Arabidopsis thaliana: one gene and its partner. The protein of the gene in region 2 purifies or fractionates together with the protein of the main gene of each other region. This does not show direct contact. Each region holds a gene or a part of one and is shown on either strand. Other genes may lie near its edges. The genes, in order: AT2G28330 and CYCB2;4.

Region 1 (6,429 bases), on a different chromosome or scaffold from region 2:
TTTCTTCTTCTCTAGTTTCACCTGTCTTTTAATGGTTATAATTTTTTTCTCGAGCAGTTCAAAAGAGGGGTTATGTTGACCTGCATGAGAGGGCGAAGGAAGAGAGCAGCCCACATGCTACCTGCAACCCGCCTTGCTGCTATGGAACCACGCTTCCAACTGATCCTAGTTGTGATTTGCCTTGTAGTTGGACAACAACGGACCCATCTACTTTTCTCATTCGAGGAAAAACTTATCTTGATGACCAGAAGAAGGTAAAGAAAAGCTCATAACTTGTGCTTGAATATATCAATATGTATAATATTACTCAATTTGTAAACATTCTCTTGTGGTGGATCCAGGTCAAGGCAAAGGGTACACTGATGGAAATGGTAGCTGCAGACTGGCTAAAATCTGACAAGCGGGAAGATGATTTGGGGTCCCGTCCAGGAGGCATAGTTCAGGTTTTGATTATTATTGTTTGTTCTGATAGTTATTAGCCCCTCTCTTACTTTTTATAAGAAGTCTTACAAGTTTTTAAAATGCAGAAATATGCAGCAAAAGGTGGACCAGAGTTCTTTTTCATCGTGAATATACAGGTAAGAGGACACTCCTGTGACCAATGTTTTTTTATTCAGCTTTTCCATGTGTCCGTAAAAGAATCAATTAGTTGTTCGATGGAATAATAGGTTCCTGGATCAACAACGTACAGCCTTGTGCTTTATTACATGATGAGCACTCCTATTGAAGAGCATCCTTTGCTAGTTAGCTTTGTTAATGGTGATGACGCATATAGGAATTCAAGGTTCAAGCTCATTCCCTACATATCCAAGGTTGGCGTAAAAGATTACCTCTATTTAGTTTTATTATTTGTCTGTCCAATGCATTCATACCTGACTTTTGGTTTGGCGATATTTTCAGGGCTCTTGGATAGTTAAGCAAAGTGTGGGAAAGAAAGCATGCCTTATTGGTCAAGCCCTGGAGATCAACTACTTCAGGGGAAAGAACTATATTGAGGTAACACAGTAAGGATTGATGCTAGATCCTAACAGGAATTAGTATCTATCTACCACAACAGTGTGACTTTTCACGTTTGAGCCACGCATTGTTAGAAAATCTTATTTTTTTGTACACCTGTTATTTTCAGCTGGGCGTTGATATTGGGTCATCAACTGTTGCAAGAGGAGTTGTGAGTCTTGTTCTTGGTTACCTCAACAAACTCGTGATTGAAATGGCCTTCTTAATACAGGTAAACTAATTACCAATCTTTCCTGGTTTAAATCTAAGTCAACTTCGGTGGGTATTCTGGTTACATATTGAAGCATTGGATTTGAGTGAGCAATTTCTTCTTTGTGCAGGCGAATACCGAAGAGGAGCTCCCAGAATATCTTCTTGGAACATGTCGGTTTAACCATCTCGACGCTTCCAAAGCAATTTCAATTATTCCATGAAAGACCAAGCAAAGATCAAAAGTTCAGATAAACTATTCTTTGAAATTCTATTGAATGTGTGGTAGACACAGTTAGGCGCTTCTTATGCAACAACTCCATTGATAAGATCTTGGTGATACTGCTGAAGTCCTTTGTATAGACCTATAGACTTAGTTCTTTTATATATTAAACACAGATTTATTTGTTACAACTCCATGTTAAGCATTGATTTTCTAGCTTCAGTACTTTCTGAGTTTCGGTTTTGGCTTCCACCATCACCCAAATGCACACGAAAGACTGGTCTAAATGGACGAAACCCTGCACTATTTGCTTCATAGCTCCGATTTGCCTGATCTATGCACAACCTTATCCCACAACAAAGTTTCACTTGTAGAGCAAAGATATTGATTCAGTGGTAACCTTCTACAAACACCAATCAATAAAGGAGCACACCCAACAAAGCTCTGACATATCAACAAAGATAATACCTCTAAAGATTCCTTACCATACATAAGTTCTTAGGAAACATGAACATGATAAATTACAGACAAGAAAGAAAGAACAGAAACTGAATGTCTCCAACAACAACAACTAGCTTTAGCTAGCAATTACACATAAAAAGCCTAACAAGACTGTACAAACAAAAGTCAAATCACAAGAGCCATAAGAGTTTAAAAAACCCCTAAATCTCTTATAGCTTACTACAACACAACGACAAGTCATGTCAGTTTAACTCCATGTCAGATACTCAAGACTCAGAAGAGTTTTCTTCTTAATCCAGAATCAATATTCCTAGATATCTTAGTGAGCTTCATAGGAGCTCCAGGACAAGTATCACTAACCATATTCGAATCGAGATTCCGAGACGAAGGAGGCGGTGTTTTACAACCATCAAAACACCAAATCTCAGGAACAACAGCTACACTTTGAATCTGCTGCAATGAGAGAATAACTCTCAACAGATTCTGATAAAGAGACTCTATAATTTCGTCATCAGATACCAAAACACAATCCGAGATCGAAGCAGAATCAATCCTCTGTTTACACAGTGGAGACAAAGTGACGATTCCTCTGTCTTTCTCTGTAACTATTTCTTCTTCCGAAAGAGAAGAATCGGAATCAATGGCAGGAATCGAATCTGGGACATTAGGGTTTGGTGTTTTCGGCTCTATCGAAGAAGAAGCTGTTTCTTTCGCTTCACATGGTTCTTCTTGCTCCATTTGGATTCACGAGATCTAAGCAGAGAATAAAAATCGAATCTAATAACAAACGTATCTAAATTTAGTGAATTTTTTTGCAGAGGGTAAAGGACGAGGAAGAAGAAGAAGAGAGTGACGGCTCTTGCTTTTGGTTTGCGCCATTTTTTAGGGATTTTTGGTATTTATAATATTACTGGAAAATGAGAAAGATAAAATTAAGTGAATCTTAGCCGTTTGATTGTTTTCGATTTCAGATCTGACGGTTATCCGTTAACATCCATTTCTTAAAGAGACTTTGGAGTTCTCGCCTATGACGGACAACTGATTTGTGTTTGTTGTGTCCGGTTCTTATTTTTTTCTCAGGAGAAAAATTTTCAAGTAAAATTTGAGGATCGGTAAAATGGACACGTATACAAAAATGTTATAAGGAAATCAATTCTTGTTAAATTAAAAAAAAAAATTTGAAAAATAATCTTGTTTTGAGAACAAAAGAATCTATTTGAAACAAAATAAATGGATACACAAAAAAAAAAAGATTTAACCTCATTTGTAAACTCAAAATCGATTTGAGATTTATCTAGAAACAATGTAGTTGGCAGAAGTTGGATTTATTGAAAGTTGGAAGTTGGAACCATATGATGAGATTCGACATTACAAAGAAACAATTCAATTCTTCTTAATTTGTTTAATTTATTGGTGATCGCATCAGATTAGATATATCTCAAGTCGATTTTGAATTTTTATAAAGAGTAAATCTCCTTTTTGGCCATCTTTATTTATCTAAAAATATTTGGGTTCACCTTTAGCAGTGAATCATTTATTCATCTCTCCTTTTCTAACTAATCAAAATCTAAACCTAATAAAAATTTAAAATCTAATATGCCACTAAAATCTGTTTGAAGTTACAAAAGACGGTGAAGTTTAGGTATTACAATTAATTGAAGTTAAATATTTGTATAAATTTATAACGGATTTAAATTTAACAATTAAACGAGGTTAAATGTTAATTTGTGTTTGTAAAAAACGATTAGGGTTTAGATTTTACAATTAAATAAGATTAAATATCGTTTTAGGTTTATAAAAAAAGATTAAGGTTCAGATTTTGTAATTAAATGAGATTATATGTCGGTTTGGGTAAATTAATTAATATATATATATATATATTTTGTTGGACAAATAGATATTTTTTTAACAACATAACAATTCAGGTATTTTTGGCAAATATTTAATAAGCAGTTTTTTAAAGGATTTTTCTGTAAATAAAGTGAACACCGTTTGAAGATTTGGTTAACGCCATTAACAACCGTTACGGAAATGAAGGAACTCAGAAGAAATAAAAAACACAATCTATTTTTTTTTCCTGGCGAAATTAGTTTGTGCATTTTCTAATAACCAAAAAGTGTGATAGTTTTCTGGTAGTGAATTATAACCCCCAATTGTAATTTCTTAAACTCTTACAAATAAAATCTCATATCATAGTTAATTTCAAGGTAAATGTTTCATTTAATTAAAGAATACTAATTTATTATATTTCTAAATTATAAAATACTATGATTCAAACAACAATAAAAAGAAGTAAGTTAAAAAATTACTAAATTTCTGTTGAGTTTCTTAGATATATTGTAATTTTTTATTATCACTTATACATATTGTGATGAAATTTGATTAGCTTATAATATTTTTGAACCTAAATCATTAGTGAAAATATCAATGTTACAGATAAGTTTTGATAATAATAGCTGTATTTTGTTTCTTTTTGTTTTTCCTCTGATAAGAAATAATAGGTATATATTAAAAACTTGTATGAAATACAGAAAAAGTTTTGTATAAAATCTTTTTTTTAATTAATTGCTTAATATATATATCCTTTGAATAGAAATCCCACCATTAATCTTTGTCCAATTTAGAATGACAGAAGTTATTTCCTTTCATACATATAAAATGATTTGCAAATTTTATAATATAAAATTTAGAAATTCATTTTTCCCAAACAAGGTTTATTAGTAAAGATGACATACTGCAAATTCCATGTAGATTACCACACATTGGTTATCTCTCTCTCTCTCTCTATTTCATGTTCTGTGTAAAATCCCTAAATCTCCAGTTTCGGACAAATTACTCTCTCTTTCTCTCTCTCTCTCTTTTTCCTCGTTCGTGCTTGGGAATGTGTTCTGTGTAGTCAGCTGCGTTCTCGGAAGGTTCGTGTGTCTTTATCTCACCCTCTTCTTTTCCTTCTTCAAATGGAGATTTTTTGTTTTTAGTTTTTATTATGAGACAATAATACAACTGTAAGAAGAAGATGATTTGTTCTTTGTTTCGATTCTTCTTATCTCGTGATACATATGTAAGAAGAACATGATCTGTTCTTTGTTTTGATTCTTCTTATCTGGCGTTTTGTTGTTTAGTTGTGTGCCCTAAAATGTTAAAGGGAGATTGTTCTTATGATTTCTCGAGATGAGATTGAATTCAATGATGAAATGAATATTTTTTTAAAAAATGAAGAAATTTTCTATGTTTCTTACCTTAAATTTCTCAGCAATATCTGTAAGAATAAATTAAAAATTATAGAGAAATATTGACTCAAAATGAATCTTTTTCAATTTATGTTCTGGTACGTGATTGAGTCAATATATTGAGTGAGCTAATGGTAATTGAATATAGTCATACTTCATATTTTAGGTATACTCATTTGACCAAACAGTTCTTAATTAATTGTTATTAGTGAATTCACGGGTTTATGTCAATTTTCGCATTCTTATTCAGTTGAAATCTCTGAAAATGATATTTGCTAGTTGTTACTTGACTTGGCTTTCTTGCTTTTATATGTTTATGTTGTTTACTTTTGAGTCAACATATTAAGTGAGCTAATGGAAACTGTAGTCTTCATATTTTATGTTTATTCTCACTCAACGAGACCGTTGTTATTAATCAATTCACGAGTTGATGTCGATTTTCGCATTTATATTCAATTGAAATCTCTGAAACTTAGCTTTGCTTTCTTACTCTTATACCATATGTTTATGTTTTTTTCTATATCTTGTCTATGATTTTTTGTACAGTGGGTGACAAATGAATAACGATTTGTGGTTACCTGAAGAGGACTTCAAGGGTCTACCGGATAATTTCCTTGATAATCTCGTTGATCCTACCAATGATGTTTCTGTAGAAGATATAGAGACCGGCGATGATGAGGGAGATTGGGATGCCAAATTTCAAAAGCTCGTACCTCCACCATTGGATGAGCTAATGAGTTTGTCCTATGAGTTCACTTGCAATGGACAGCGTGTGCAAGTTCAGAAGCATGTGCCAATTTTGGTGAGTTCTTAAGCTTGTATATACATTTATTTATGCATCTCACTTGATAGAGTCTCTATGAAATCACCATTATTCTTATTTGCATTATGTTCAGATTTCATATTTAGCATTATGACTTTGTTATGTTAGAAAACATGTAAAACTAAATGATCATGCTTTACTTGATAGACTATTTTACTCATTCACTGCGCACGTATGAATTTCGGCATTGTTTGGCCAGTATTATATGTATAATATAACATATTCTTTTAGATATAAGCCTTGATAAATTTTTCCCTGCATGTAAGTTAGAAAAGTGCGTGCAAGCGAACCATGTCTCTATATATTTTACTTATTACATTATGCCATATTTAACAGCACGCATTTGAGTTAGGAAAGTAGGTCTAATTAACAGAAATATACTTTCCCCTTCAAGCTTTGATAGCTTTTTATCGAGTAAGGTTAGATAAGAGCGTAGAATAATAATCACACTTATATTCCATTACGTAAAATAGTTTTACACGGTA
Region 2 (6,513 bases):
GGCAACCGCGATTTCATGGTTTAGTTTCGGCCACCATGACTGGACCGCGGCCCGAGCGGCTTCAGCATAGGTAGTTGTAAAATCGACTGGTTCTTGTTTTTTTCAAGAAATTTAGCGACTTGAACGACCAAGTCAAGAGATCAAAGTGATTATGTCCACAAAACCAGAAGCCTAATTTATTTTCGCGACAAATGTTGTGAACTTGTGATTGTGAGTGATAAGATATGACTTGGACATTTGGAAAGAAGAGCGGAAAAATATGTTGAAATGAAGAACCCTAAAAAGTTAAGAGTTTTAAAAAACGCTTTCTGTTATTCTCTTATCAACGAAAATGAGAAGACTAAACCATCCACAGATATTTCGAAAACAAACAAGTGAACCCACACAGAGATACGTACGTGTTCAGAAACTTCCCCCCCATATGATGCAACTTATGTTGCTCTCTCTTCAGTGATAAAATTAGGTCAAGTCATTATAGATTCCGTGTGACCTAATTTTAACAGTTGAATCACAGCAGAAGAAACCCAGCTGGTTCAATTCTTGCAGCATAACCAAATTTGGATGTGTTGTATTTCCTGTGAACACCTGTTAGCTTCCCTGTCCCTGCCTTGTGATGCAAACCAACCATCTTTCTCGAACATTCCCTGTGAGAGATTGATCATCAAAACTCAACAACACTTTTAGAAATTCCAAATTATATCAGTAGAAAAAGCTACTTAGTTTTGATGTTCTTACAGAAGCGCTTCTTCGGTGTAGCCTGAGTGGAACTCACTGGTTTTGCTCCAATCCTCGTATCCTTTAAGTGTGCTCTGAGCAGTGTAGATCGCCGATGCAGCCAACTGAGAAGGAGTGTACTGAAGCATCTCGTACTCCACTAAACAAAGCTCGATCATGAAGAATGATAAAAGCTCAAGCTGAAAAACCAAACCTTATGATCATGTTTTGATTCTTTATATATCACATAAGACAGAAGATTATCATCAAAGTTACACAAACCTTTTTGTCAGATTGTGCAGCTTTGAGAAACCGTCTCATGAACACATATGGAGTTGGCAGACAGAAATTGAATTGCAAGGTATTCGCCATTAACTTCTCCTGCAAGACACAATAATGATCATCCACATATAAAGCAGAGCATCCATGGTTATAATCAGGACAAGATTTAGTGAAGGATTTTACCATATCAAGAATCTCTGTCCTAGTATAAGCCTTGTCAGAGATCAGGATTAGATCATCAACAACTGGAACTGAAACTTCTTCATATTTGCAAGCAAGTAACATAGCTGTTACACCCACAAGCTGAAGCTTTTTCCTCGCGATATGTTGATGAACCGCAAGAAATCTGTCAATGAGATTGATTGTCAGGTAAAGCGTCTCCTCCATCAGCTCAAACTTGTAATGTACCTGCAACAAAGATTCACAGTAAGCTTTACAGTGAGACAACTACCAACAACAGAGCAATTTTATGTTCATGTTTTTGTGTGTGTATATATATATACCTCAATCAACCAATCAAAAAGGATTCCTCTCATCCTCTCGTTAATGTCATGTTGATTCTCCATGTAGTTAGGCGGGACACAGCTACGACACTGCAAAATAATTGAAAAAGTTTCAATCTTGAAGCTAGAATGATCATAATGATACAGAAACAGAACACTAAAAGTTACCTCATTTTTCTTGTAGAAGCAATATATGTCATTAATGTATTCAACTACAGATAAAGGATTGTTCTTGTCACAGCTGTCTATATCCATCACAGACTCTTCTACTTCAGCATCAATATCATTTGAATCTTGCATTTCAATCCCTTCCTGCAGAATAAAGACAACAGGTTTCTTCATCCGAGTAACCAACAAAAAATAGTGGCTTAAATAAAACATGTTATTATTATTACCATTTTGTCAATCTCTTCAAGCATTGCTTCAGTATGTTGAACAAACATTGGTTCATTAAAGTCTCCTTCTTCCACATCTGTTATGATTCTATCTAATGCTTCGTTTGAAATCAAGTCTGGTTTCTTGGTTTCCTAACCACAAAAAAACCACTTGGAATTAGACAACCTAAACCATGTCATGTTTTCAAATACTAAATTCAGATAGAATCAATATAAAGGTACCTCCTTGTGGATTTGGAGATTGTTCTCAGCTAATTGAGCAGCAAATTTCCTGAAATTAAATAAAGAATTAAACAAACTCATACTACAATTTTGAAATCGAAGCAGAAATCAAATGAAATCACTCACCTAGTAACTGGTCGATGCACTGGAACAGGTGGAATCTTCTTGTTACAAATCCCATTTTTCCTGAGAAAACAATTGGTTACTAAGATAAGTCTATGCAACGTTTTTATTAAAGGATCATTGAAAGAAGAAAGTAATAAAAATATAATTACTCAGTGAATGGTCTCTTGACAGCACAAGGATAGACCGGAGCTCCGATGATGTTCTTGTTTATATTACTCAGTGCCCTTCTTGTCTGTCCATTCGTCGGAATTACCTTTCCTCCACGTAAACCCCCTAACATTGGCAAAATCATCTTTTTAGTTAATCAAACAAAAGATTGATTTTTGATTAAATGGGTCTTCTTGTTTTTAATTCTGATCTACCTTGTTGTCGATTCATCGGTCCAATGACTCCGTGTCTGTTCTCATCCGATCCACCCATTATTATCTTCCGTATCTGAGAATCGCAGAAACACTCGCATATTAACAATCCGAATTAAAAATTGGGTCTTGAATCCGATTTGAGAATCTAAAAGACTCGACGATCAAGAACAAGATGTACTCTCTTAAACCCATATGAAATCAACACTAAAGTATTTACCTTGAAGCTTTCAACGAAACTATTAACCTCTCTCTATCTCTATCTCTCTGTCAGAACTCAGAAGCAAAATCCCATAACAGCAAACACAAATCAACCTCTGGCTCTCTTCAATGATCTTCAAGAGTCTCTCTCTTTATCTTCTTTCTCTCACAACGAAAACAAAATTGAAGAAAAAGTGGTAAAAGAGACTGTAGAGAGAGTAATCAAAGATTTCGAAGACGTGAAGAGCGGATATATGTCTGCAACACACCAAAAAAAAAATGTTGTTTTACGAATCGTTATCTTTTTTTCCCCTTTTTAGAATCAACGGCTAGTTAATCTTAACCGTTGGATACAACCTCAGAAAAAAAACCTAATGGAAAAAGAGAATAGGAGCCCAACGGCTATATTTGTAACCATGTGCGTTTTTCAAATTTGGCTTATTTTCTTCGTTATTACTTATTACTACCACGCTCAAGTCTCAAAGGTCCAATGGTCAATGTTTTATTTCAATGTCACCGACCACCAACCGCTTCCTCATTATTAAGCCAATCTAAATATTAATACCAGTCGATTTGACCCCAAAACAAAAAACAAAACTTAGACCACATTATTATTAACCCAATCTGATAAATTTTAATTTTACCCGATTCTGATTTTTAATACTCAAGCTAGTAGATGATTTAAATCTTTAAACCTTAGACTAACGGCTCTTCGCCTTTTTGCTTTTTCCTCTTTACATCTTTTTCTCCAGTAGCTTTGTTAGTCAACACATTTTCCAAAAAGGTTGAAAATAAGTCAAAGTACAAACTGAATTACCCAATACGGCCCAATATCCTGATTAGAGAGTTAGGCCCAATATATCATCAGATTTGCAATCGCAAGTCTCTTTCAACTTCTCGTCGAATGTTATACTCTCCTCAGAGTTTCTCCGGATCTTTCAAAAACAATTCCGGTGAAGATGAATCAGTTCTGTGATTCGTGATTTATGTTACTCAATCGATTTCTCATGTTATAGTCACCGATCTGTATCGAAATTTTGGTGTGGATTCATCAAGCTTCTCAAATGGAGTTCGAGACTCACGAAGATGCGTATTTGTTCTACAAAGACTACGCCAAGTCCGTTGGTTTCGGAACTGCGAAATTAAGCAGCCGAAGATCAAGAGCTTCAAAGGAATTCATCGATGCCAAATTCTCCTGCATACGCTACGGAAGCAAACAACAATCCGATGACGCGATAAACCCTAGAGCTTCTCCTAAGATCGGATGCAAAGCAAGTATGCATGTAAAACGAAGACCAGATGGGAAATGGTACGTTTACAGTTTCGTCAAGGAGCATAATCACGATCTTTTACCAGAGCAAGCTCATTATTTCCGGAGCCATAGAAACACAGAGCTTGTGAAATCCAACGATTCTCGTCTCAGGAGGAAGAAGAACACTCCGTTGACTGATTGTAAACATCTCAGTGCTTATCATGATCTTGATTTTATAGATGGTTATATGAGGAATCAACATGATAAAGGACGGAGACTTGTTCTTGATACTGGTGATGCAGAGATTTTGCTTGAGTTTCTTATGCGTATGCAAGAAGAGAATCCCAAGTTTTTTTTCGCTGTTGATTTCAGTGAAGATCATCTTCTGAGGAATGTGTTCTGGGTTGATGCTAAAGGGATTGAAGATTACAAAAGTTTCAGTGATGTGGTTTCTTTTGAGACGTCTTATTTCGTGAGTAAGTATAAAGTACCACTAGTTCTTTTTGTTGGAGTTAATCATCATGTACAACCTGTGTTGCTTGGGTGTGGATTGCTTGCAGATGATACTGTTTACACTTATGTTTGGTTGATGCAATCTTGGTTAGTGGCTATGGGTGGTCAAAAACCTAAAGTTATGCTTACTGACCAAAACAATGCTATTAAAGCTGCAATCGCTGCGGTTTTACCGGAAACTCGCCATTGTTATTGCTTGTGGCATGTGTTGGACCAGCTTCCTAGGAATCTGGACTATTGGAGTATGTGGCAAGACACTTTTATGAAGAAGTTGTTCAAATGTATATACAGGTCATGGTCTGAGGAGGAATTCGATAGGAGGTGGTTGAAGCTGATAGACAAGTTTCATCTTAGAGATGTTCCGTGGATGCGGTCTTTGTATGAGGAACGTAAGTTCTGGGCACCTACTTTTATGAGGGGAATAACATTTGCGGGGTTATCTATGCGTTGTCGTTCAGAAAGTGTGAATTCTTTGTTTGATAGGTATGTTCACCCTGAAACCTCACTTAAGGAGTTCTTAGAAGGATATGGGCTAATGCTAGAAGATAGGTATGAAGAGGAAGCTAAAGCAGATTTTGATGCTTGGCATGAAGCACCTGAGTTGAAATCTCCATCACCTTTTGAGAAGCAGATGTTACTTGTATACTCCCATGAAATATTCAGGAGATTCCAACTTGAGGTTCTGGGTGCTGCTGCTTGTCACCTTACGAAGGAGAGTGAGGAAGGAACAACTTACAGTGTTAAGGACTTTGACGACGAACAGAAGTATTTGGTGGATTGGGATGAATTTAAGTCAGATATTTACTGCTCTTGCCGTTCCTTTGAGTACAAGGGATATCTCTGTAGACACGCAATTGTTGTCCTCCAAATGTCGGGTGTTTTCACCATTCCGATAAACTATGTGTTGCAAAGATGGACAAATGCAGCTAGAAACAGACATCAGATCAGCAGAAACCTTGAACTTGTGCAGTCTAATATCCGCCGTTTCAATGATCTATGCCGCCGAGCCATTATATTGGGAGAAGAAGGATCTCTATCCCAAGAAAGTTATGACATCGCCATGTTTGCAATGAAAGAAGCTTTTAAGCAATGTGCTGTTACGATTAATACCATCAAACATCCCGCCAGGTGTGAAGAAGCTGCAATTCAAGCAGGAGATCCTGTCCAGGAAGAAAATCAATATGGATCCACATCGACACAGATTGGACCCGAACCTAACATACATGCAGGCAATGTTCCATGGCAAGCTGAAACCAGAAGGGAGAAGAGAAGTAGCCTAAACAATACATCTAAAAAGGCAAAGGTTCACTAGCATTTTCTACTATGCTGTCAAAATCATCGATTAATCTTTTATGGGTACTCAATAGGCTATAATATCATACATATGGCCAAAAGACAAACAACCATCTCTGCTAAGCTGTCATAGCCTGATGATGTGATGCGTAACTTTGTTTATGATTGATCTTTCTTCACTTGTGCAGCATGTGGCTCAATCTGAAACTGTTGGTGAGGGAAGCCAAGAAGGATTTCAACATGTGGTATGTTTGATTTTTCTATCTGCATCCCGAATGCAAACCACTCAGTGACATTTGGTGAACTTGTACGTTTCATATGGTTAAGTGTTCTGATCGTTGTCAATTACAGGCTGATCCAAGACAGTCACAGGCGGTATTGGCAGGGCAATTTCACAACACAATGCCAGGAGTATTCCAAAACTTAATTAACACGAACTTCCAAAACATTCCGGCTACAAATATGCACCAGAACAATCCCCCTGGGTGAACTCGGTAAAAAAACCACTGCCAACAAGCTTGATAACTTCTTTGTGTGTAATATATTAGGGATCTCCTACTCAACTAATTTATCGCTTCTTCTTTGGTTCCACTTGTTGTTAGGATAAGTTAATAGAGTAAATGGTGTATCTTTTGATTGACTATTCCGTGTAA

What was found.
Region 1: the proteins of CYCB2;4 (region 2) and AT2G28330 purify together in Arabidopsis thaliana (affinity purification with mass spectrometry, with the first as the bait; one large-scale study listed by BioGRID). This does not show direct contact.

The regions. Positions count from the first base shown.
Region 1 is NC_003071.7:12,097,995-12,104,423, forward strand, and holds AT2G28330 (uncharacterized protein), read right to left. Parts: upstream 2,764-6,429; 5' UTR 2,630-2,763; coding exon 2,165-2,629; 3' UTR 1,748-2,164; downstream 1-1,747. Other genes in the region: AT2G28320 (Pleckstrin homology (PH) and lipid-binding START domains-containing protein), read left to right, coding at 58-254, 342-443, 528-578, 669-812, 901-996, 1,127-1,228, 1,338-1,430; GATA13 (GATA transcription factor 13), read left to right, coding at 5,678-5,923. UniProt on the Arabidopsis thaliana protein: Probable cyclin-dependent protein kinase (CDK) inhibitor that functions as a repressor of mitosis in the endoreduplication cell cycle.
Region 2 is NC_003070.9:28,627,538-28,634,050, forward strand, and holds CYCB2;4 (CYCLIN B2;4), read right to left. Parts: upstream 3,010-6,513; 5' UTR 2,822-3,009; intron 2,678-2,821; 5' UTR 2,663-2,677; coding exon 2,605-2,662; intron 2,516-2,604; coding exon 2,392-2,515; intron 2,303-2,391; coding exon 2,243-2,302; intron 2,166-2,242; coding exon 2,117-2,165; intron 2,027-2,116; coding exon 1,895-2,026; intron 1,812-1,894; coding exon 1,668-1,811; intron 1,590-1,667; coding exon 1,500-1,589; intron 1,405-1,499; coding exon 997-1,404; coding exon of another isoform or gene 958-996; exon of another isoform or gene 941-957; intron 915-940; coding exon 736-914; coding exon of another isoform or gene 732-735; exon of another isoform or gene 645-731; coding exon 509-644; 3' UTR 266-508; downstream 1-265. Other genes in the region: FRS4 (FAR1-related sequence 4), read left to right, coding at 3,867-5,870, 6,049-6,105, 6,212-6,349.